Linked DNA regions of Rhinolophus ferrumequinum. The protein of the gene in region 2 interacts with the protein of the main gene of each other region in a pairwise test. Links are inferred from orthologs where the notes say so. Each region holds a gene or a part of one and is shown on either strand. Other genes may lie near its edges.

Region 1 (8,122 bases), on a different chromosome or scaffold from region 2:
ATCCAGTGCTTTATTGAACATAAATAGTCTCATAAGAGGAGAAATAAACGTGTCCCCAGGCCAACAGAGAGTACCTGTATGTGTTTATGAGAAAGTGATGCGCGAGGTCCCTGATCTGTACTCTGAGGGGGTGGTCAGTCAGGCGGGGCCTGGGCCAACCAGTAAGGCAGATGAGGGTCCGTGTCTTGGGGGACTCACTGCTCCTGCGTGCCCCAGGAGATGTAGTCTGGCCGCGTGGCTGCATGGTACTCATCAATGAGCTGCTGCACAATCTCCCTGGACGTGTCCAGCTCGTCAAAGTTCTCCTTAAAGATGTCCTCCTTGCGGAACTGCTCCAGGAAGGCCTCCCGCTTCCGCAACTTGTCGTACTGGCGACAGGTCCGCTCAAAGAGCTTGGGGTGTGCAGAAAGCAGGGGTCACAAACAACCGAGGAACAACATGGCCCAGAGAGCCAGAGAACCATGGCTGGGCTATCTCCACAGTAAAAAAGCCAGAAGCAGAGCAGCGGGAATGCAGAGAGGTGAGGCACAACCAGGAAAATGATTATGGGAAAATAGGTGCACACCGTGAGACTCACCGAGGAGATGCTGGTGTGGTTGGCCATCATGAGCCCGCTGACCCGGTGGGCAGAGGGCAGGTAGGGAGACTTCCTTGACAGGGCCACCTGGATGCTGGCTGGGCCCCAGGGGATGAAGTTGGCCAACTTCCGTTCCCGGATCCTCTGCAGGCTCTTGTGGACCTGGGGTGGGCAGAGGAGTGGTGGTGGTCGCCTCTCCTCTACCCCTGCAGGTTCCAGGGGTGGAATGAAGGGGCCTCACCTACCTGAGTGGGGTCCACCTCCCCCTGGATAATGTTGAGGATGGCAATGTAGCAGTGGTTGGTCTGGCGATCCCGGCCGGTGGACACCATCACATTCTTGGGCTGCAGCAGCCGCCTCATGACATCCAGGACCGTGGTCTTCCTCACGCTGGCCACCTGAGGCGAGAGTGGGCCACAGGGAGCAGGCTAGCACTGAGGGCACAGTGCAGGGACGCACGGACAGACGAGTAGGCGGCACGTGCCCCCACCAGACTTGGGGCAGTATGGTCTCTTTGGGGAGTGTCTTTGGATTCAGTTCTATACCGAGCCCCTGCTGTGGGATCAGGAATCTGAGCCCTCCTCAGCTCAGCAAACTCATGCCCCTGTGCAGGAGCACACGCAGACCCTGTACAGCCCAGGCCCTGCAGGAAGCCAAAGGCAGAGGGAGAGAGGAGAGCGAGTCAGCAAGGAAGTCGTACAGTCTGTGCCAGTGCCTGAGCGCAGAGCCTCTGGGGGCTGCACAGGGCAGGTCCTGGGGCAGCAGGGAGAAGAGAAAGGCTAGCTCAGGGCCTGCGGGCCCAGGGCCAGCCTGGCCTGGGACACTGAGGGCCCTTCTTACCGACTGGTCCGTGGTGAGGGGGGTGTAACCAGTCATGAGGAAGTGGAGCCGCGGTGTGGGAATGAGGGAGGCGATGAGGCCGATGAGGTCATTGTTCATGTAGCCCGGGTAGCGCAGGGTGGTGGTGCTGGCCGACATGATGGTAGACACCTGGGGACCGAGGTGCCATGTCATGCGTCTTGCCTGGGGTGGCCTCCCTTCCCCAGATGGCACTCTGAGCCAAAGGAGTCCAGGAGTGGGGCCTCACCAGCTGATTGATCTGGGAGAAGGATGGGTTCTGGATGTGCAGGCGATCTGTGGCGATCCGGTTCAGGGCTGTGTTGTCCAGCACCACCTGGGGGGACAGGAAGAGGTGGCAGATTTTTGGGAACATAAAGAACATGAGCTCTGCCTGAGCCAGGGCTCTGAAGCTCAATTTCCTCTGAGCCTCATAGCCAGAAAGACCGATCCAAAAGGGATTTGAATAGCACTGGGGCCTAGAAGATCTCAAAATGAAAGTTTTAAGTGTATGAAAATGGTGAAACAGACAAGGGTATGGTAGTAGGAAAAGGTAGAATCTAGGACTCACCACACAGTCTGCGTTCTGGGTCAGCCTTTTGAGTGTGAGCAACGAGTTGTAGGGCTGGACCACCACGTCGCTCATCTCGTCCTGGTTGGGAAACACTGAGTATGTCTGCACCAGCTTCTTAGGGTACCTGGTGGGGATTGGGAGAAGAGAGTCAGGGTGACAGACTGGATGCTTGATACACATAGGGCTTCCAATAACTGCCTGGAAGCAGCTGAATCTGGACGGGGAAATTGGTGCTGGGCCATGGGATCAGTAGAAAAGGGAGAGGTGACTTTTGGAAGTCTGTAAGTTTCCCAAAGGGCAGAGAGACATCTTAGGATCTAGGGTTCTAAATCCAAACTGTCCATCCTCGCTGACCCTTCATCTCTCCACCTAGGACCCAGATTGTAAGGTCTGGGTTCAAGCCGCGGGGGTGGCTAGGAAGGCCCTTTCCTGCTCCAGTGAATAACAAGGTATATCTGAAGGGACTCTCAGTTACTTGGGAAACCAAGTCCTCCCAGGCCCGTCAAAACTCAGACGTACCTGTCGTTCAGCCGTTCTAAGAGGTAGGAGCCCAGGCCAGAACCTGTTCCCCCAGCAATAGAGTGACACAGCACGAAGCCCTACATGGGAAAGGGGCAATCAGTGTCTAGGTTAATCTAGTGAAAGGATTTCAAACTGGACCCATCCCACAATTTCTCAGACCCCTATCTTCCACTTTCCTGCCCCCACACATAGAGCTTAGGAGCCTGCCTTATTTCCAGCAAGGTCCGGTGGCTTCTGTCCAGTGCAAAGGGTACATGGGTGGTCTTATACCTAACAGATGGCTTCTAAAGGGTAATGCTGAGCCTTCCCTATGTCGGTTCCCACAAGTAGTGCTGAGACACTCACCTCTAGACTGTCACTGCCATCTGCCTCCCGGTCTATGATGTCAAAAATGTCCTCATGGATCTTCTCTCCCTGTACAGATATGGGGAGGGTCAGAGTGGGACAGGACCATGGGACAAGGACTCTGAGCTCACAATAGCGACCCTCGATTCTCCTTATAGCAGCGAAAAGGGTTTTTTGGAGCACAGGGGCCCTGCTTTTTATTCTCATTGAGAGACAGTATGGTACAGTGGTTAGGAGCAGGCACTCTACATCCAGACCGCCTAGGTTCATACATCAGCTCTAGTTCTATTTAGCCGAGTGACTCTGGGCAGGTTACCTATTCTCTCTATACTTCAGTTTCCTCATCTCTATAATGAAGGTATTAATACAGGTCCGTATACCCTTATCCAAAATCCTTGGGGCTTATGGTTTGGAATTCAAATATTTCATATTCTAGAAAGGTAATATGATACATATAATGTATTTTAAGCAAAATGCCAGCAGGGTCTGAGGTGCCCTAACCGAATACATCAATATTTCTGCAAAGAAAGGTATGAGTAATGACAATAAATTGGATAGAAATTATAAAATAGCCTGTCTCAATAGATTTGGTTTTGCTGTTAAATCGTCTTTTGCTTTCAGTTTTTTGGATTTTGGAAAGGTAGATAAAAGTCTGTGAACCTGTAGTACTTCTAGGGTTGTTGGGAGGTTTAAGTAAGTTAATACATATTAAGTACTTAGTATGGCCTGTCACACAGCACTAGCTAGTGTAATGTCTTAAGAATATTACATAGTTGACTTAGAGAAAAGCACTTCCCTCAGTCATGTCTCTCTCCCTCTCCCACTCATACATCCTCTATCTAATTTCATCTCTCTCTAGGAAGTCACTGGGCCTGTTCCCACACAGGAAGGGCATTGCGGGTCTTGCCAGGGAATAGCAAACGACCTGGGAGAATCCGCTGGCCCAGTTGTTGCCAGCTCCTCCTCCATGCTCCGACAGGTAGATGTTCTCTGGGTTGTAGAGCTTGGCATAGGGAGAGTTGAGGATGGAGTGGATCACCCGGGGCTCCAGGTCCAGCAACACAGCCCTGGGGATGTAGTGCTCATCGTCCGCCTGTCAACGGGAGTCCAGGAGGGGGCCCACTCAGCTGAGGCCTGCCCAGTCCTCGGTCCTCCCCACTCTGGCTCCTGCCTGCCCTCCCGCCTCAAGCCAGCAGCCCTGGCTCCTTTGCCCAGCGGGGTTTCCCAAGGCCACTGCCCATCCTTTCAGGCCCCCTGGCCAAGTCGCTGGGAGCACCTGGTAGAAAAAGACGTCCTTGCGGTCAGTGCCCTCGGTGGCGAATTCCTCCACGATGCCCTCGGGGCTGATACCATGCTCAGCGCACAGTTGTTTCCAGAACTCGAACCCAACTGGAGGGGGGAGGCGGGCGGAGGAGAAAGAGGATATCTAGGTCTGGGCAGGTTCCAACTAGGAGCTGGGGGACTGAGCGCCCGGGTCCAGGGATAGGAAGTCAAGGCTCAGCAGACTCCCATGACAGAGGAAATAGCTGTATGCCAGCGATTGGGCAGGGAAGGGCTTTCGGGGTTGGACAACTGAACACTGGGTCAGGCATGTCCCGCGTTTTGGAGAACTACGATTCTGGAAAGGGCAAATGGGAGTCCAGTATCCCACAGCAAGACCCCATTGAATCTAAGGAACCTGACTAGCGGAGGGGCCGGAGGTTCGCTCACTCTGATTGCCGCACTGGCCCAACTGTAGGGTGATGATTTCCCTCGGCATCGCTCTTCAGGCACCGGCGTTGCAGTCACTCCTGCTAGCAAAGCCTCCGTGCGCCAGCCCGCCTGCCGCACGACGCAGGCGCCAAACAACCCGCTCCGCCCACGAACTTTCTCCGCTCCAATGAGAAGTGAGTTCTGGCGATGGCACTTTCTTATTCATTTGGCTTCACTAGTACCGACTGCGCGTGCGCGGCACCGGATCGGGCTCGGAGCTGGTGAGAGGGGAGCATGGTTTGACGTAGCGTTCTGTCTGGGTGGAAGCCAACTAGAACCCAAGCGCAGGCGCAGTGTGGAGGGAAGCGGCCTTCCCCGGCCAAATCGCGCATCTGCGCAGTCGGTGTTATTGTGACTGTCGGGCCGCGGCCCCGGATGTGGTGGCTGAAGGTGGGAGATGGCGGAGGCAGAGGGGGTGGCTGGAGCGCCAGGCCCAGTTTCGGGGCCGACTTTCAGGGGCCGCGGCGCTATGTCGGGCTCCTTGGAGCGGGACCAGCAGGTTGAGGCGGCGCAGCGGGCCCTGGTGGAGGTGCTGGGGCCTTACGAGCCTCTGTTGAGCCGGGTGCAGGCAGCCCTGGTGTGGGAGCGGCCAGCCAGGAGCGCCCTGTGGTGCCTGGGGCTGAACGCGGCTTTCTGGTGAGAAACTGGACCCTCAGAACCCCTCCGCGGAGCGAATTCGTCAGGTTTCTTTAGGGCACTACCTCTCGCCTCACCTGTTTTCTTCGCTGCACTGGCTCCTTCCTATCTAATTTTGCCTCACTTCCACTTCATCCCGCCTGCAGGCTTTGGCATCGCAGTTCTCCGTAGGGCCTTCCAATTGTCTTCCCTCCTTTACCTGCTCCCGCACCCTCGCCCCGCACATCTGGATCTGGCAGGAGCATCTAGTAACGCCTTGAGCCGTCCGCGGTGAACGAGGGCGCCTCATTTTATCCAGGGAAAGCTGGGTCCCTTTAGGGCCATCACCTCCCTTCTCTTGTCTGCTCAAATGTGGTTTGAAGACTGTCTCTAGAGAGTTTAGTAGTTGTTACTGGGGTAGATGCGTGAGGCGTGAGGTCTTGGAATGGTATCCATGGGTGTGATAAGAAAACAAGGTCGATTGGTCTGAATTAGAATTAGCCCATTCACGGAAGTTTGTGAAGTCTGAACGTCAATGAGAGGCTCCAAAACTGCAACTTGAAAGTGGTAAGCTTTTAAAGAACAGTTGTGAAATAGTGATTGTGAGATTTCACCCGGTTGAAAACCCCTTAGAATTGCAACTCTCCTTGTTCCAAGGAATTGGTGAGAGGAGGCATCCTTAGCCGTGGCAGTTGAGGATGTCTCACAGTGCGTGTGAGTTTTCCTGAGCTGGGAGTGGGACTGTAAATATATTTTGAGACTCTGTATGTTTCATGCTCTGTGAAATGGAACTGTGGCTTCTCTCAGTTGTCATTACCTAAAGTGGACTTCGGTCTTCACAGGATCTGCCAAGCAGATCGAGGGAAAGATTATTGATCAAATTCCCAGGGAACTGACGTGTAGGGGTGGGGGTGCCTCTCCAGCTGAATGAAATAAGACTATTCTGGATAAAGCTGAAACAGAACAGTGTGTATCCAGCAATTTTTGGTTCTGCTAAAAATACTTTCCTCTTAAAATTCTTGGTTTTAAAATCAAAACGTAAACAAACAAACAAACAAACAAACAAACAAACAAAAAAACGTTTAGTATCCTTTCTCTGAAAGAAGGTTTGTCAGTCAGCTGGAGCAAAACAAATAATTCCACGTTCGTGATCAGACAGTGTTCAGCTATTAGGTTAATCCTCTCACAGTTTGAAGGAGACTCAAGTTAAAGTTGTCACAGTAGCCTCTGCCATTTGTTGCTTCCAGAGTCTTTAGCAAGCTTGATAATAAACTTTTTTTTTTTTTAACAGCATTCTTCTTCTTCTTTTGTTTTTTGTTGGTAGTGCTTCCTTGATCCCCAGTTCCTTAACTTCTCTCCTGTTGCTCCCTGTCAGGAACTCTGAAGTGTAGCACCTCATCCAGGAATGTTGACCAGAATGACCTTTTCTTCTCCTACCGCCTCCCCATCCTAACCCCTAACCCCAGACCATCCTGTCAAAACTTCATTCCCTACATTGGGATTGTACTCCGAGGAAAAAAAATTGGTCCTCAATAAACCAGTTTGTATCAAAGTGTGACTGGCTGATACATGAAAACTTTATCCGGATTGAAATAAACACCAAGGGTTTATTAATGCCGATGGATCAGTTGCATGTATGTTGTTATTTCTGGGACGGGGACTTTGCACATATCCCTTGCCTGAGAGAGATGTTTGAAGTGGAATGCAGGTGAAGGTCTACACGTAAGGAGCTGTTGTTCTGACGGAGCTACACCTTTCAGTGTTACAGTGTTAGCTTTAATGTTCAGGCCCGCAACAGTGTTTACGTAAGTTTATTAATAGGCCGTATTTGGAAGCTCCCTCAGATCCCCTTTTCCTACTCCTGGTCTCTTATTAAAGCATTGTGATGGGTCTTTATCTCTGGCGTTTCCTGGTAGCTTGCCTGCTGTGTCTCCAGAACAGTGCCTCTCGTGATTCCCATCATACGCTAAGTAGGTGGGGGAGAGAGAGAGCGAAATGAGGGTGTGACTCCTGAGATTGAAAGGGCAAAGGAGTGTGCCATTTATGGAGAAGACTCATACCTGTGAAGGGTACAGAATGACTGACAGTCCGGAGGCTGAGGGAGTTTGGCGCTGGAGTTCACAGGATTGTTTGTTTTCGGGAATGTGCTTTCTGGGAAGGTAGTTTGAGGCGCAGAATGAAAGACTTCACATTGCAGTAGCGTTATATTGAAGATGGGTGTCTGTTTACGTTTCAATTCGGAATGTCAAAGAGTGACAGTTTAATTCTTGGACATTTGAAGTGTTTAGGAAATGAAAGAGAAGAATTGGCTCAGGTCAGAGGAATCAATTCTGAAATATTTTTCTTTTATTATTGTTTTGAATAATAATATATCACTAACTGAGGTGTTTTATTCATTTTGAGGTATTATAAGATTGGGTAGGAGTAGAGAAAATCAGAATTCAGGTAGTCACTTTCACTGTTCTGTATTATCAGTGAAGGTTTTTCTGTACCTGTGAATGTGCCCTCTTAATAGAAACAACAACATCATAAAGGTAGAGATAGATGTAGATACCTCGCTACTATAGTATTTCAAGGCCTTCACTCTTGTTTTTTTTTTTCCCCCAAGTTCCAGAGAAATGGTGATCATATCAGAGATCTGCCAGCTTATATTGCTCCTGGTCACTGATATGTTATTATCTCTAGCATAATAACAGACATGTCAGGCCCCCCTCTCCAATTGCTTGTTTTTTCATTAACCTCAACACCCCCTATAAATGAGTGATTTGGGGGAAGAATATCTGAGTCAGCAAGCGTGTATCGTGACAGGGTCAGAAAAGAAGAACATGTTCGAGTAACATTTTAGTTTAACTCAGACCTTGGAGATAAGGGGAGAACAACAGCGCCCTGGAAATGGGTGT
Region 2 (8,256 bases):
AACTTATCTTGTGTTTACAGAAGGAAAAAAATCCTATTCTAGAACACCAGAGGAACCGTGATCACACTTAAAATTAAAAACTTGAGTAGTGATATAGGAATCAAAAATTCAAAAGAAAAAGTAGGAAGAGATGAGTGAAGGCCCGACAATGAGGATGAACAGGAGGTAGGAGGTTATAAAACCAAAGGCAAACAGGACACATAGCACTGTGTCTAGCAGGAGCTCTGAGACCTGGCAGCTCCAGCTCCAATCAAGAGATGGAAACCACAAGAAGCTAGCAGAAAGAGGGCAATAAAGCTAGCCAACCGCAAAGAAAATATCAGCAGGGGAGGAGGGACTTGGAGGGGAACAGGAAGAGGAGGAGTAATCATTTAGGCCCTGGTTTACCAGAAAATATTTCGGTTTTCAGGAATCCCAGCTCTACTCCACAGTGGGCCCTGGGTTAGCTGCTTTTCCTGTCTGCTTCTCTGTTTTTCTGCAAAATGAAATGTGGCTAATACTCCTTAGGGCTGTTCCTGAATTAAAAAATATATATATACAATCTGTTCCTAACAGTTTCCTGCTATGTTGCAGGTTTTCAATACACTGTAGCTATTAAGATCATTGCAAGAGCCCATGAAACCCTCCTCTCCCAAGGCACATGCACACATAGTCAGGTATGGCAGCTCTAGAGATATTGTTGGGGTTAAGCTTGAGTTATGTGAACAGTCAGGGTATGTGATTGCTGTACCACCAATGGTCCAGCTGAAAGGGGCTTTGAAAATCATTTACTCTAACCCTCTTTTTTTGTAAACAGGACACTTTAGCACAGCAAGATTAAGGGTTGTGCCTGGAACTGGAATCAAATCTCAGAACTCAAGACAGCAGAGCTCTTCCTCCTGCGTCACAACTAGAAAGAAGGTCATAGGCTGAGTACCTAAGGAGCAGTTGGAAGGCTTATCACTGGTTAAAAGATAACTGGAGGGACCAGGAGAACTGACTGATGGTCCTAATAGCTTACAAATTAAACAGTTTTGTAAAACATTTAACTCCAAATTATGAGCAGCAAAACAACAGTGGGGGTGGGGTGATGAGCAGAAATATTCTGGGTGAAAGCATGTAAATGATTGAAATGGGAAGGGTTTGGTTTTAAGGAAACCCATGGGAATTTCACCTCAATTTGGGAACTGGTACATTTCAGAGTTTGTAACTTACACAGAGCTACTGGAACAGAGCCTCATACTGCTCTGTGAACTCTTAAGGGAAACAAGAGTTCTTTTCTCTATTTCCAATACCTAAGACTGTGAGGTACACAGTGCACCCTTAATTCTGTCTAATAGAACTGCATTAGAATGCTAATAGAAATAGCAAACCAGCTGCAATCTGGGGTCTGCCACAGAAGAGCCATGTGAAAATTTTAGGAAATCACTTCTCTGTGCTTCAGTCTTCATCTGTAGGATGGGCATTATAATGGTGTGAGGATTAAGTGAATGACTATAGACACAGTATTCAGAATACGCCCAGGCACATGGTAAACTATCAATAAAAGTTACTTGTCACTTCTAAATGTTATTATAATAGAGTATCACCAGAATTGGGAGAAAATTTTATAGTTGTCATTCAAGGTCCAGGGACCAGGGAGGGAAGGATTAGGGAAGGATCTCTTTTGTGTGCAACTCCCAGGGAATGAATGAAACCAGCCCTCAAGTCTCCTCTTCCTTATAGGAAAAGGACGGCAAGGGGTTTATACCGCTGGCCTAAAGCCCAGGCTTCTTCTGGTAGCTGTGAGACCATGACAGATTAAGGATTGGAGAGGAGGCCCAAAGAGTACCTGCGGGTCAAAAAAGCAAATCAGATCATCGCAATTCCTTCACCTGTAAATTATTTGTAACATTTATCTTAATGACCCTGTCTGAAGATAAAGAGCACAATCTTAAAAGTCTCCGCTCCTCCATTTCCAAAATTCAACGGTTGTTCCCTCTACCACACTTAAGTCGTCTGCCTTCCAATCCGGCTGCGCAGCCCACAGGAGAGAAAAACCAGGCAAGTGGCGGGGGAGGGGTGATGGGAAAAACGCCCGGATGCAGAAAGATACCTTAATATTTCTCCTCTGTTCCTCCTCGCTGCCTACACGAGATTTAATTACATAAACCAGGGTTCAAAACGGAGAGAAAAAGGCCTTAGTCCTTCTTGATTGTGCCCAGCTACAATCTAATCAGATAGGTACCGGGGAAGGCTGGCTGCCCCCGTACATGTCGCCGGAGCCAAGAATGATGAGGCAACCCGGCTGTTGCGCAGAGAACGTGACCTTGTTTTCTGGGCCAGTCCTGTCTTGTGGCAGCCCCCTGCCCCCCAACTCCCAGTCCTCACAGTATAAAAGGATTCCCTGGCTTCCCAGCCTTTCCCTCCCAAAGCCAATGCTACGAGGACTGAAGTCAACTTGATTAAGGGAGAAACAGAAATCTATGGGAGCAATCCCCACGGCATCAATTATTCCCAGAAAACTTCCCTGCGATCTCAAAGGCAGCAAATGTGTGGTCCTGACCGAATCATTCTCGCACAGAAGGGCCACATTTTGAGCACATCACAACCTAAATAGCCTCTGAATACTGCTGAGTCACTCAAACGTAGGCTCCGCTCAAAGGAAGCGGTCAGCTCTAAAGATGGGTATGGGCCCCGGGGATACAGGTTTTAAAAGGTCCGCAGTCAGAACGTCCATTCCATTGGCTCTCCTCGCAGTGAAGGCCATTCAGGGGTAAGTAATTTTAGGGACCAGCGTTCTTCAGTGCCTTAGGGCAGCCATCACGACTCTCCCGCCCCCCGATATTCCCTTCTCCTCCCCCTTCCCGCTCCCCTTGCACTCACAGGGACCCTATCAGGATATTTCTTCCGGATCTTTTCTCCTTCCTTTTTCCGATACTCAAATGGATGGTCCTCCTTATACTGGAACTTCATGATGAACCGCAGGGTTTCTAAGATCCCCGGACGGGGCCTGCCTTCCTCGCTGATGATTGCGTCTCTTGGGTCTTATTCCCTCCGCCAAATTTCAATGTGTCGGAATCGCTTCAGAAATGGCAGCTCCTGTCGCAACGCAGCTTGGTAGAGCTTCTGAAGGGATCTCGGGTGCCCTAGCCTGCAAGTAGGAGATGGCCAGGTAAAGAATTCCCGGTGGCTTTTCCCGAGAGCTGGCAACACAATAACAACACGGCGGCGCGTTGGTATTGTGACGTCACGGCGCCCCGCCCTTCATCCCGCCCCCAGCGCTCTGGACCGCGCGAGTTGGGGGTGGACAGACACTGTCGGTTTCAGTGTATTCTTCTTCTATCGAAACTTTACCTGAACAGAGTTCTCATGCAAATGAGAACAGTTTTTACTTCTTATTTTATTGATAATGTGGCATTAAAGGTGGTTTTAAAACAAAACATTTTCTAAAGATGTCTTTTTCCCTCTCCCTCGCTGTTTCTTGGTTGGATCCAAAAACAAACACACTGGAAGAAAATCCAGCTTTTTCCAGCTTGTTAGGATCTGAAGTCTGGGGGAAGGAGGGATCAGGGTCCTGGAGTTTATTTGGCCAGTGCAGACGTGCCAGGCACTTGCATTTTGCCCTTTGCTCCTTCATTTGCCACCTCCAGGAACCTCGGGAGCTAGGCTGGCTTCCTCTGACCGTGACCCTTCCTTCACCACGTTCGCGTCATTTTGTTTGGGTCCATGCCGCAGTTGCAATTTGTTCCTGGAGCAGGAACGTAAACAAAACGTGACTCAGGAATTTGAAAAGACACATTAGGTAAAGGACATCAGATGTAATCAAGGTCCAGAGAAGTGGTGTCAGTCTTAACTACTAAGGGCTTCACGCCTTTTCAAATATAGAAATGATTCATTTTCTCCTATTAACGCAGAAGTTGGGCCTATCTGATGGAAAAGAAAATATCAAGTGATCTAAGTGATTAACTCAGTGGTTCTCAAACATTCTTTTCTCTTATGCAAAAATTCACCTGAAGGTTAGTACTGGTTAAGTATCCCTAATGTGAATAGAAAGTGCCACCTGAAAAGGGGGAGTGGAGGACTCTGGGTGGTGGGCCAGGTGCCAGTATCACCTCTCTCTGGCCCTCCCCTTTCTCCAACAAGAATCAAAAGGACTAAGGCCTTTCCAACCACTGTTCCTGGCAGTGATTCCAGGAACCTATGGTGGGGGACAGAGGAAATTGTGAAAGATAAGGGTGAGGACAGGCTGGTCTGCCCAAAACAAGGGAGCTCTGCTAACTATTAATATATTAGAAAATGGCAGCCCCTATCTACTTTTGTCAAGGTCTCAGTGTCTCTGATTTAAAAAACAAATCCACAAAAGAAACTGAGTTTCATTATTGAAACGAGAATGAATTACATAGCCCTACTTCTTGATGTTAATTTTTTTTCTCCATGGTATCTTTCAGTCCTTTTTATGTGTGAAAATCCAGGAATTATTTTATCACATTATATTTTTATAATTTTTATTCCTTATTTTCAAATTGAAATTTTCAGCTTATTTTAGCTTCGGTTCAAATAGAGCTAAATGTCTCAAAGGAGAACCTTACAACCAGTTGAGAAAAGTAATTACGATGAAGATTAATATTTTAAGACTATTATTCTATGATCAAATCTACTGGAAACAATCGTAGCTAGTTAAAAATACTGATTTTAACTTTTAAAAATACCTAAGCACAGTGGCAATTTATATATGAAAAATAATTTGGAGATGGAATTTCGATTAATCTTTCTGCCTCAAGGCTTTTCTAAATGCTAATGCTTTATTGTAGAATACACAATCTGTGAACTTCCAAAGTTTGCTCTCTGCCTGTATTCTCAGCATAACATTTAATATATTACACAAAATGTAATATTCTCTTAGTTCATATGTGAGAAATTTTAAGGAAAGATTCTGATTAGTCTTTTATAAGTCACCTGGCCTTCTTAATGGTCAAGGCAGTGAGAATCTATGATTTGTGGGTCCCACTAGAACTACGCAGTGGTTAGTGTGGGAGGAGTAGCTTCCTACAAAGCAATGTATACCTCCGCCGCCAAAAAAAAAAAAAAGAGAGAAGGAATGGACATGGTATTATCTAATGAACAATACATCATTTATGTGTCCTGTGACAAAAATAAGCACACAATGCTTTCAGAGCACATTGTAAAGACACAGAGGGACCCAGGCAAATGGGGGTTAAAAGAAAGGCTTCCTGAAGAAGGCGATGCCTGAACTAAGCTCCAAATGATTTACAGGAATTAGGCCAAAAAAAAGAAAAAAAAATAGGAGAAAATGTTTTTACAGGAAGATCATTTGACGATATCCAATGACCATAAATAAGGGCAATATAGGGAAAGAAGTAATTTAAATAATTTAGTATGCCTGGAACATAGACTACAAAATACGAAATGGCTATATATGAGGCTAGAGAAATAAGTCCCTTTTTTAATTATGGCGTTTTGATGATGTACGATCAGAGGCTTACAGTAGCCACTGTATTCATTTCATAAAATCTAAATTTGCAGTCTAAATGCACCAGTCCAACATAAGAAAGATAAAGAAGATGTCAGTCAGAGACTCATGATGTATAGATAGGGATAGAGATAAATGTAAAGATAGAGTTGGAGGGAGAACTAATGGCATTTAAGTCCCTAGTTTCAGGTAGTCTCTGTGCTATTTGGTAACATGTTACTTGTATTTATATCCTCAATGCTTTGGATACAAAATGAAGACTCAAAAAGTGCATAGTATGTCTATGGGGACAGAGCCAGGAGCGCAGTTTCCAGGCTCTCACCCTCACGTGGAAAGGTGCTCACTGGGGTAGTAAATGGCCATCAACTGTGATGGGATGGCCATCAGCTGTGGCTAGTTGGCCGTCAGCTGTAACCAGTGAGCCATTGGCCACTAATATAACTGCTGTGGCTACGCTAACAGAAAATGGGGGCTGGCAAGAAGGTGGTGGCTAAGCTAGCAAGAGCAGATTGCAGTTAGCACAGCAGAGTGTGGATTGCGGATTGCAGAGAGGCGGATTGCAGTTAGCAAGTGAGGTTGGTTGGCAGAAACAAGTGGACGGCGGGTTGCAGATCGTGTGGCTCCTGCTTCCTGTGTCTCCAACCCAGGCGCCAGTGAGACTATAGCGGTATGACTCTCCTATCTATGGCTCCGTGGGTGTTCCTTTTTGGCCTCACCATATCCTGCATTCTTATGTGGGGAGCGGGAGCTGAGACCCTGCATGACACCGTGCATGACAATGTCATAGTCAAGAAAGCAAAGGGTAGACTACTGATTTAAGATGGTGGATTGAAAAAGATATAGTTTTCTTTGTTGTCTCCTGAAAATCCACTAAATCAACTGTGTCATAGGTTCAATTATGTCCCCTGAAGAAATGTTGAAGTCTCAACACCCAGTATCTATAAATGTGACTTTACAAATAGGGTCTTTGCAGATAATCAAAAGATGAGGTCATTAGGGTAGGCCTTAATCCAGTATAATTGGTGGCCTTCTAAAAAGGAGAGCATTTCGACAAAGAGAAAGACATGCAAAAAGGAAAGAGGATTTAATATACATGCTTTATGTATAGTATGTGTATATGCATTAACCCCTGTAATCCACACATAATAATATAATGTATATGTACTCATTTTATCATTTTACAACTTAAGAATTTGAAGCATAGAATGATTAAGTGACTACACCATGATTGGACAAGGAGTAAGGAAAAAGCCCAAAAGCCTGGTTTTAGCCTCTTATTCAATAATAGTCTTTTTGCCACGACCCATTATACTCATCTAATTAAAATTACGATATAACTATGCTTAGAAGATAGGAGGCACAAGAAATGTTCAGATGTGTCATGGTAGCAAAGGTAGGGATCATGGTAACGAAAAGGGGTAAATTTTATTTCTTCTATAACGGCAAGTTGATAGATGATGCACCAAACTGAACATAAAAATCAAGAATAGCAATATATGCATAGTATTTGTTGAAATGTAGATTTTACAAAGTCAGCTGAAAAAGTAGGGCGTATGCGTACATGTACGGGGGTAGTGGGAAGGTGCTATTTTTCTTCACAATCCTTATAGAGCTCTTTGACTTTTTAATCTTCATAAATGCATACATTTAATTCAAATAATAAAATTAAATTTAAAAATAAGAGCAAAAGTTTTTTCCATTTGGTATTTCAAGCCTGAGGAAGTTGAGTATAAAACCAACTCAGACATTCAGATCCCTGCAAGTTACATCACTTCCTGCAATTCAGCCTCCAAAGCTGACAAAAGGGAACACACAGTTTGGAGAAGTAAATGGTGCTCTGCAGGCATTCAAATGGCTATGTTTACTTACTATTTACTTGGCTTTTGATGAACTTTTGTCCCCTTTGAATTGACTGTGTATTCATCCACTTTGGTATTTACTGAGTGTGGATTTACAACTTTTTTGAGAAAGGGAGCGAGTAGTACTCAACTTTCCCACCTATAGTAATTAGTATTAACATCATATGGGAGAGCAGGTTCTATGTAGTGCAAGAGGGGAGTATAAGAGAGAGCCGGCGTAGGCAAGTTTGATATACAAACTGGTACTCAAGAAACATCTAGAGACTTGGAACATTGATATCATTTGTCAAACAAGGATAGTAATAGCCAAAGGGCAATTTAAACAGTTAAAGAATGACTATCATGAAGCTGAAATAAAGAGGTGTAAATTGAGCCTGCCTTATTTCTAGCTTTGCCTATAACTAAGCATTTATGAAAGAAATTGAAAAAGTACTTGTGTTCTCTGTGGAATAGTTCAGTAGCCATAATGGTCTCAACTCTCTTCTACATTTCACTTCTCGTATTCATCCTCTAGAGATAGCCAAAGCATCATATAAGTTACATGATCTCTTTCCCTCTTCAAAAACTTATGATGGCTTTCATAGAATGTAGGATTAAAGATCAAACTGCTTAAGCTCCCATGTAATACCTTCCATAAAAAGATGCCAACCTATCTTTCCAGATTCATTCTTTTTATATCACTCTTGAAATTTTTTAACATTCTCCATGACTCACATTCTCATTATTTCTATCCTTGCACATAGACAGAAAATGCTCTTATACTGTGTATTTGAGGTTTAAAAGTCTATCATAAATCAGGTTTCAATTCAAACACTACAACTTCCATGACACCCTTTCCAAACTCAAAGTTAGAAGGAATTCTGAAGTGGGAAACAGTGTAAATCTGGCTTAACCAAGGTGAAGGTGCCAGCAGGAGAACACTGACCAACATCACTCAGAGACACC
Region 3 (7,641 bases), on a different chromosome or scaffold from region 2:
TGGAGAGTATTCTTATCATTAGCTAGTTTTGGCATACTGTGCTTATGGATATGCCCTATAAAAAATAAGGAAGCCTCGCATCTCTTCTGCTACAGCACTATTTGGGATTTCCATAAATAAATACACTATTAGCTTAATAGTTCTAGCAAAGCTTCGATGTCATCGTTATTACCGCGATATTAAAGGGCCAACAGCATACCACAGTATCAAGATTACCCTCATCAAGTTGTGATGCCACCAGGCCATGGCCTCACCTAAGTCTCTTAGATATCAAGTGGCTCCTATGGCATCACACCCTGCCTTTGGCATCACCCTGGCACATCACCTTACTATGGTGTCATATGCTATCACTGCCATGACAGAATTCTGCCCGGATGCCTCTCCGCCGAGATGTCAGAATAATTAACCCCTACTTCTTTCCACTCCTGTGGCGGCGGCAGGGAGGGGGAGGGTAGCCACAGCCACCAGTACGAACTCGGGAGGTAATACTCAGCTCCTACTGTTGTCCCTTCCGCCTCCCACTGCAGGTCAGGGCCCCTGTGCGACAGGACCTTTAGGTTCTCATAACTCTCTCGCCATGACTCCGCACCCATTTCGCGTGGCCGACTCAATGCCCCACAATGACCACCCTCCCCGGTTCCACACGAAGCCGCTCCCAGTACCTGACTCCATTCTCCAGCTGTCATCCTGGGCCAATTCCACCGGCCACTTGACTACGGTGGCCGCGAGGGACCCTGGAACTTGTAGTTCCGCGCTGCTAGGGGCAGAGTCGGTGAGAGAGGCAAAGGCACCTCCCGGCACGGAACTGAGCTCAAACTGCAACTCCCAGAGGCGCCCTGCAAAGGAATGAGGAAAGTTGGTGATTGGTGCAGCTCTGTCGGCATTTTTGATTGGCAGTTGGAGCCGGCGACGTGAGGCGGTCCGCGGTCTCGCTGCCCCAAGATCCTGGGAAAGCGAAATGGAGGGTTCTGTGTCTAACCTAATGGTCTGCAATCTGGCCTACAGCGGGAAGCTGGAGGAGTTGAAGGAAAGGATCCTGGCGGATAAATCCCTGGCTACTAGAACTGACCAGGTAAAGCAGCGCTGAAGCCTCTCCGCAGGCGGCGGCGGCGGCGGCTACGTAGCCCAACGTGGCTGCCTGGCGCGGCCCAAGAAGAGACCGTTTCCCAGAGGCCAGATTCCCGCCCCCGCCGCCTCATCCGCACCCGGGATCGCGTCAGGACTCGGAAATGGACGGCAGGAGCTACCCCGCAAACCTCAAAAAAAAAAAAAAATGGTTTTGGCCCACTACTTAGCTCACTGAATTTTGGCTATGTGTAGAATGTGCCCTGCGTTTTTCACAAATGTCCAATCTTTGAGATACCCTGAAGAGGAGAGTATTTTTGTTTGTATTTTTGTTTGTTTTAATGGGTGTCTTTACTTTTACAAGTGATTTTATTCAGTGAAACACGTGTAAGAACGCCCCTCCTGTGCCAGGCAGTTTGCTAGGAGTTGGGGAGACAGCCGAGTGGAAGAAGCAGACATTAATAAAGTAACGCCAAATCATGTCCGATTACAAATTGCGGTTAACAAAAACTCGGGAGAGAAGTTTAAATGGTGCTTTTAGAACGAGGACCTGCTTTAATCTCCCTTAGAAAAGCCAGATGTGGCAATTGAAAAGGGTTTGCGGAGGAGCTTAGACCTTGCGGGATGAGCGGGACTTCCTTGGAGGATGAATGGGCATTATAGGCAGAGGCGGAACAAAAGTGAATGGACTTTGGGAAGTGTTTCTTTCTGTCGCCCGGCTCAAAGTACCCTCATGGCTTTCATCCCGAGTTTCTAGAAAGATTCCCGGTGCCCTTACTAAGCCAACAAATATTTATAGATTGCCTCCTGTTTGACAGGCACCACGTGCTAAGCGCTGGTGAGACATTGTCACATACTTAGAAATCTCCGTTTTGTGTCTTTGGGAAGAGAATTGGAAGTCAGGAGACTTTTTTCTGGAACTTTCCTTTATTGCTCAACCTGAAAATGGCGTTATCTTTGCCAAGTTTTTCTTCATTATGGTCGGGCAATATTTAGTACTTTAACTTAATTTAATAATGTTAAAGTAAAATTAAGTAATCTAACCATTCTTCATTAAGTCAATGGCATAAAAAAGGGGGAAGCTATTCAAGTTCAAAAGACTTAAAAAACATAACCAAATGCAACTTACGGACCTTGTATAGATCCTAACTGAAATAAGCCAACTGCCAAAAGACATTTGGGGGACACTTGGCAAAATCTGAATATAGACTGGGAATTAGATGTTAGGAAGGAGTTAGTGTTTATTTACTGTGTTTCCCCAAAAATAAGACCAGGTCTTATATTAATGTTTGCTCCAAAAGACGCATAAGGGCTTATGTTCAGGGGATGTCTTCCTGAAAAATCCTCCTAGGGTTTATTTTTCAGTTAGGTCTTCTTTTCGGGAAAACACGGTATTATTTAGTATTTTTTTTTTAGAGTTAGTGTTAATTTTAATAGTTGCAATAATGGTCCCTCTACTTTTATGTGTTTGAAATGTTTTGTAATACAATTTAAAATAATTTTCTTTTAAAGGTATATATAGATGATGTCAACTAGTTTTATTAACATTTCTTCCTCATGAGATGTATGTGTTCTTCCCAGAGCATCTAGAAATTTTAGAGTCAGACAGATGGGTTTGTGTCCCAGCTCCACCATTTACTAGCTGTGTGACCTTGGACAAATTGCTTACCCTGAGGAGTCTTAGTTTCCTCCTCTGTAAAATGAGGATAATCTCCACTGTACAGGATTGTGGGGATTAAGTGAGATGCATGTAAAACTCCAAGCACAGTGCCTGACATAAAAGCATGTATTAATGCAGTGGTAAGCAGCCAAAGCTCTATTTCTGCCAAAGCACTGAAATCAAGTTTCTTACTCTGCTGCTTTCATGGCTGTATTCTGCCCAGAATTGTCACATTCGTCCATGTATTTTCCCCATGTTACTAAAACCTTGGTCTCTCTTGTGTTAGTAATAATATGGTTTAAGGTTACCTACCTGAGGATCCAGTGCTTTCCATTTCTTGTTTCCAAACTACAGGTTTGCTGGCCCTAATATTATTTTGTTCCGCTTTCTTGCCTTAGTTCTTCTATTTCTCTTCAAAAATGTTGATCTTATTGCCACTCTCCCGTGTAGGACAGCAGGACTGCATTGCATTGGGCGTGCTCAGCCGGACATACAGAAATTGTTGAATTCTTGCTGCAACTTGGAGTGCCAGTGAATGATAAAGATGATGTGAGTACTAGGCAGAGTTAATAAATTTCCAGTTATCTTTAGACTCCAGACTGGTGTTTACTGAAACCTGAGTATTAAGCTCAACAGAATTGTAACCTTTATGTCTAGGAAGTTACAGTATGGCCCTGGTGACCAAGCATAGGACTAGTGGTTTCATTATTTTAAAATACTAGTTTTGCCACTCATACCCTGTAATTTAAGGTAAACATGCAGATCAAAGCTTATTACAATGACCTCTAAGAGACTACAGACCCTTTTTATTATGTTGGAAATTTTTTGGTGAATATTGCCTGAGTAATGAAGGCCTACATATCTTTTTTGTTATATAGAAATTTATTGTAATAGTATTGGTTTTATTAGGATAAGACTTGTGAAGAATAAGGATGAAAAATTTTTGGTAGGCAAAGATTCCTTTTCAAGGATGCTCACTGAAGTAATATTTATAATAGCAAAGAAATAAACACGATTTAATGTAGGAACAGTTGGACATAGTAGGTATATCCATATGATAAGATATTATGCAACCAATAAAGTCATGATTCCAAAGAATGACAGAAAAATTGACAACAAAATGATAAGTGGAAGTTGTAGAAAATGCAACTCACAGAGCTTTATATCCTCTGATCCTAGTTTGAAAACTCATTAGAATTAGACTTATGTATCATCATCTCTGTGGTATAGGATTATGAGTGGTTTTTCTTTTCTTTTGTATACATCTGCTTTCCAAATTTTCTGCAGTGCTTAATGAGGGGGAAAAAAAGGATGTTATTTTTTTTTTTAAATCATTCACACACTGTTCTTTGTAAACCCTACCTAAATGTTAGCATTAATCCCTGTGCCTTTTCCCCCTGGTTTTTGTACTGCGCACCTCTTTTACAGGCAGGTTGGTCTCCTCTTCATATCGCTGCTTCTGCTGGCCGGGATGAGATTGTAAAAGCCCTTCTGGGAAGAGGTGCTCAAGTGAATGCTGTCAATCAAAATGGCTGTACTCCCCTACATTATGCAGCTTCCAAAAACAGGCATGAGGTAGGGTTTTATTCCTAGGAGACTTCTTTTGAGTTCTAAACCTGGACACAAACACAAATAGAGCTCTGCATTGTTTTCTTCTCTGACTTTCCAGATCACTGTCATGTTACTGGAAGGCGGGGCTAATCCAGACGCTAAGGACCATTATGAAGCTACAGCATTGCACCGGGCGGCAGCCAAGGGTAACTTGAAGATGATTCATATCCTTCTGTACTACAAAGCATCCACAAACATCCAAGACAGTGAGGGTAACACTCCTCTGTAAGTGACAAGTAGTAGTCATTTGTATTCTACCTGGCATTAGCCCTCTTGCACTTATTGTTACACATCATTTCTTTTATTATTCTGTTTATAAATGTAATACATGTTTGTGGCACACACATTTGAAAGTACACAAAAGTATCAAGATAAAAATTAAAAATGCCTATCTTGCCACCCAGAAATAACCACTGACAACATTTTTAGGTATTTCCTCCCAGTCTTTTGTATGCAACTATGCGTATTTTACATTTTTTTTGGTAAAAATTGGATCATACTGTGCATATAGTTTTACATCCTGTTCTTTTCACTTCATAGCGTATCGTGAGCATTTTCCAATATTATTAAATATTTTTAAAACATTTTTGAATGGCTATGTACAATTCCATTTTATAGATGTTCCATAATTCAATCATTTCTGTATAACTATATTTTTAAAACACTACTGTAAATAATGCTACACTGACCAGCTTTGTACAAAAATTTTTGGCCATATTGCTGATTATTACCTTAGTTTATACTTCTAGAAGTAGAATTGCTGAGTCAACAAATACACACATTTTACGACTATTGCCATATATTGCCAGATTGCTTCCAGAGGAGTTATATCATTGTACCCTCCCAACAGCAATTTGAGAATGCCTGTTACCCTCTCACCAACACTGAAAATATCCTTTTGTTGTATGAAAAATGATATTTTATAGTTTTAATTTACATTTTTTATTATCAGGGAAGTTAAACATCTTTTAATGCCTACGACTAATTACATTTCTTTTCTAAATTGTAGCTTTTTGTGTCCCTTTCTATTTCCTTTTGGGGAGTTAATTTATTTTCACTGATTTTTTTTTTAAGTACCCTTGACCTGACATAGTAAAAATATTAACCTTCTGCCATGTTAGTTGAAAATATTTCCCCCGTTTCTCTTTTCGTGTTGTTCATGATTTTTTTAAATAGCAAGTTTTCAACTTCTGCATAGTCAAACCTATGAATCTTCCCTCATGACTAGAAAGTCTTTCCTCACCCTGAAATTAGTTAAATATTCACCTGTATTTTATTGCACCATGGGTTTTAGTTGAGAATTATTGTTACTGTTTTTCATTTAACTCAAATTCATTCAGAATTCTTTTACGTGTATGGCCTGAAGCCATCCTCTACCTTGATATTTTTTTCTACAGTACTTGGCCATTTTTCTTCCTTATTGAATGGTGGCTTTTTTGAACCAGAAATTCTGTGAGTCTTCTTTGTAGTCCAAAGTGAGATCCAACCTTTTCTAATTTGACTTTAAACTGACTTTTTGAAAACATTGTTTTCTTAACACTTAGTTTTAAAAATCTTTTCTGTAGTGTGAGTGACTCCGATTCGAAAGACTTACATATTGCCCGCTACTCCATAGCCAGAAACTCGGGATGGCCTGGCGAGATGTAGAAGTCAGGCAGTATAGGGCTCTGGGAAGAGCCTAGGATTTACAAACTCAGCCACTTACCACCTAGATTAAATACTTACATTAAGTAACTTGGAAAAATTACTTAACCTTCCTGAGTTAATTTCCTCATCTGTAATATAAGGATAATAATTCCTTCCTCGGTAGATTGTTGGGAGGTTGAAATAAAATAACATGTAAAGTGTCTAATAGCCTGGCTGACAAACTGTAAGTGCCTAACAAGGTTCCCTCCCTCAGTTATTGCTCAGCCATGTCGTCATAGGCACCTCTGTCACAAGATCAACTGTAAAATGATGATAATAATACCTTGCTAACTTTTAAGGTGGATATAGGGATCAGATGAGTTAAACTCCTTTAAACTGCTTTTCCAAAATATAAGTCATAAAAATTCCTATTAGCAGATTATGAACTGGTTGTGTTTTTTTGTTGTTGTTTTGTTTTTATTGTTGTTTTCTGAATTCTAACCCTGAATGATTCCATGTGTTTGGTGCAAATTACTTCTAATCTCAACAAAGTAAAGGATTTGTTTCTTAGGCTGGCATTTAGATCCCTCCTATTGCAGTAGGGCCAGAATTACGATTTATGATCTGATATTATAAGGCTATTTCACTGAATTTTAACTTATAAACACTCTTCCCCATGAAAATTGATTTTCCTTTCCTAATTAAATAACTTCCCAATATTACACTACCTGATAATATGCACTTTAGAGTACCTATCAGGAAATCCTAGCCATTACAGAGAATTAGTGATTTATGGGTCTTTGTGGTCCTCAATTGCAGACACTTAGCCTGTGACGAGGAGAGAGTGGAAGAAGCAAAACTGCTGGTGTCTCATGGAGCAAGTATTTACATTGAGAATAAAGAAGAAAAGACACCCCTGCAAGTAGCCAGAGGGGGTCTGGGTTTAGCACTCAAGAAAATGGTGGAAGGTTAAGAAGCTTGGCATTATTCTTACTTTGTATGTTTTGTGGCTGTCCCCAGTGTCCTGGAAACTAATGTACTTAAGCACAAGACATCATCTATGAATAATGACGTTTTTTTCACCTTCAAAGTCTTAGACATGTTTTGAATATTGTTCCTGCTGAGGTATTTGTTCTAAGCTTACAATCTGCTTTCCAGACACTGAATAACTGTTGAGATTGTTCTATTATTGTATATTGTTCTCTATTGAATTTTGGTTAGTTTTGAGTGTTTCTGTGGCCATTGTGAGTCTGCAGTACCCTCTCACGCACCCTCTGTCAGTCCACTCTGAGGCAGAATAACTCCAGTAGCATCAGGCCAGTTGTTCTGCCAAATGTTTTTAGGTAGATTCCAGAATGTTCCTTCTGTACAGTTGAAACACATCATAACTTGTTTTTCAAGCTCACTCAGAGGCCTATACCAAATACATTTCTGATTTTTCAATAGTACATTTAATTTATTTTTTGTTACAGGAGGAATACTTGTATATTTTAGAGGACCAAATTTTCAGTCGGAAGGCCTGCTATCCAAGTTTGTCATTCATAAACACTAAAATAATAAAAAATGATAGCCCATGTACCCATGTGTCTTATTAATGAGCTATTAATATTTCCCTCCATAAAATGTGCTGTTTTTAAAAATGAAGTTTTTAAGTACCTATATGAAGTCATCCTGTATTG

The links. The genes of interacting proteins can lie anywhere in the genome.
Region 1: the proteins of GABARAPL1 (region 2) and RETREG3 interact in binary tests that used the Homo sapiens proteins (3 or more experiments, as listed by UniProt). The link is inferred for Rhinolophus ferrumequinum from reciprocal best matches to the Homo sapiens genes GABARAPL1 and RETREG3.
Region 3: the proteins of GABARAPL1 (region 2) and ATG4A interact in binary tests that used the Homo sapiens proteins (3 or more experiments, as listed by UniProt). The two-hybrid records come from large-scale screens. The link is inferred for Rhinolophus ferrumequinum from reciprocal best matches to the Homo sapiens genes GABARAPL1 and ATG4A.

Annotation. Positions count from the first base shown.
Region 1 is NC_046304.1:38,319,461-38,327,582, reverse strand, and holds the start of RETREG3 (reticulophagy regulator 3), read left to right. Parts: upstream 1-4,947; 5' UTR 4,948-5,004; coding exon 5,005-5,243; intron 5,244-8,122. Other genes in the region: TUBG1 (tubulin gamma-1 chain), read right to left, coding at 195-392, 578-739, 823-975, 1,418-1,567, 1,665-1,751, 1,986-2,112, 2,508-2,587, 2,856-2,924 and 3 more. UniProt on the Homo sapiens protein: Endoplasmic reticulum (ER)-anchored autophagy regulator which exists in an inactive state under basal conditions but is activated following cellular stress.
Region 2 is NC_046293.1:25,901,301-25,909,556, reverse strand, and holds the start of GABARAPL1 (gamma-aminobutyric acid receptor-associated protein-like 1), read right to left. Parts: upstream 3,207-8,256; 5' UTR 2,935-3,206; coding exon 2,845-2,934; intron 1-2,844. UniProt on the Homo sapiens protein: Ubiquitin-like modifier that increases cell-surface expression of kappa-type opioid receptor through facilitating anterograde intracellular trafficking of the receptor. Involved in formation of autophagosomal vacuoles.
Region 3 is NC_046284.1:46,492,591-46,500,231, forward strand, and holds the start of ATG4A (cysteine protease ATG4A), read right to left. Parts: upstream 3,176-7,641; 5' UTR 3,060-3,175; coding exon 3,038-3,059; intron 1,172-3,037; exon of another isoform or gene 1,073-1,171; coding exon of another isoform or gene 959-1,072; exon of another isoform or gene 902-958; intron 837-901; coding exon 663-836; intron 1-662. Other genes in the region: PSMD10 (26S proteasome non-ATPase regulatory subunit 10), read left to right, coding at 959-1,072, 3,176-3,274, 4,154-4,300, 4,395-4,561, 6,782-6,935. UniProt on the Homo sapiens protein: Cysteine protease that plays a key role in autophagy by mediating both proteolytic activation and delipidation of ATG8 family proteins.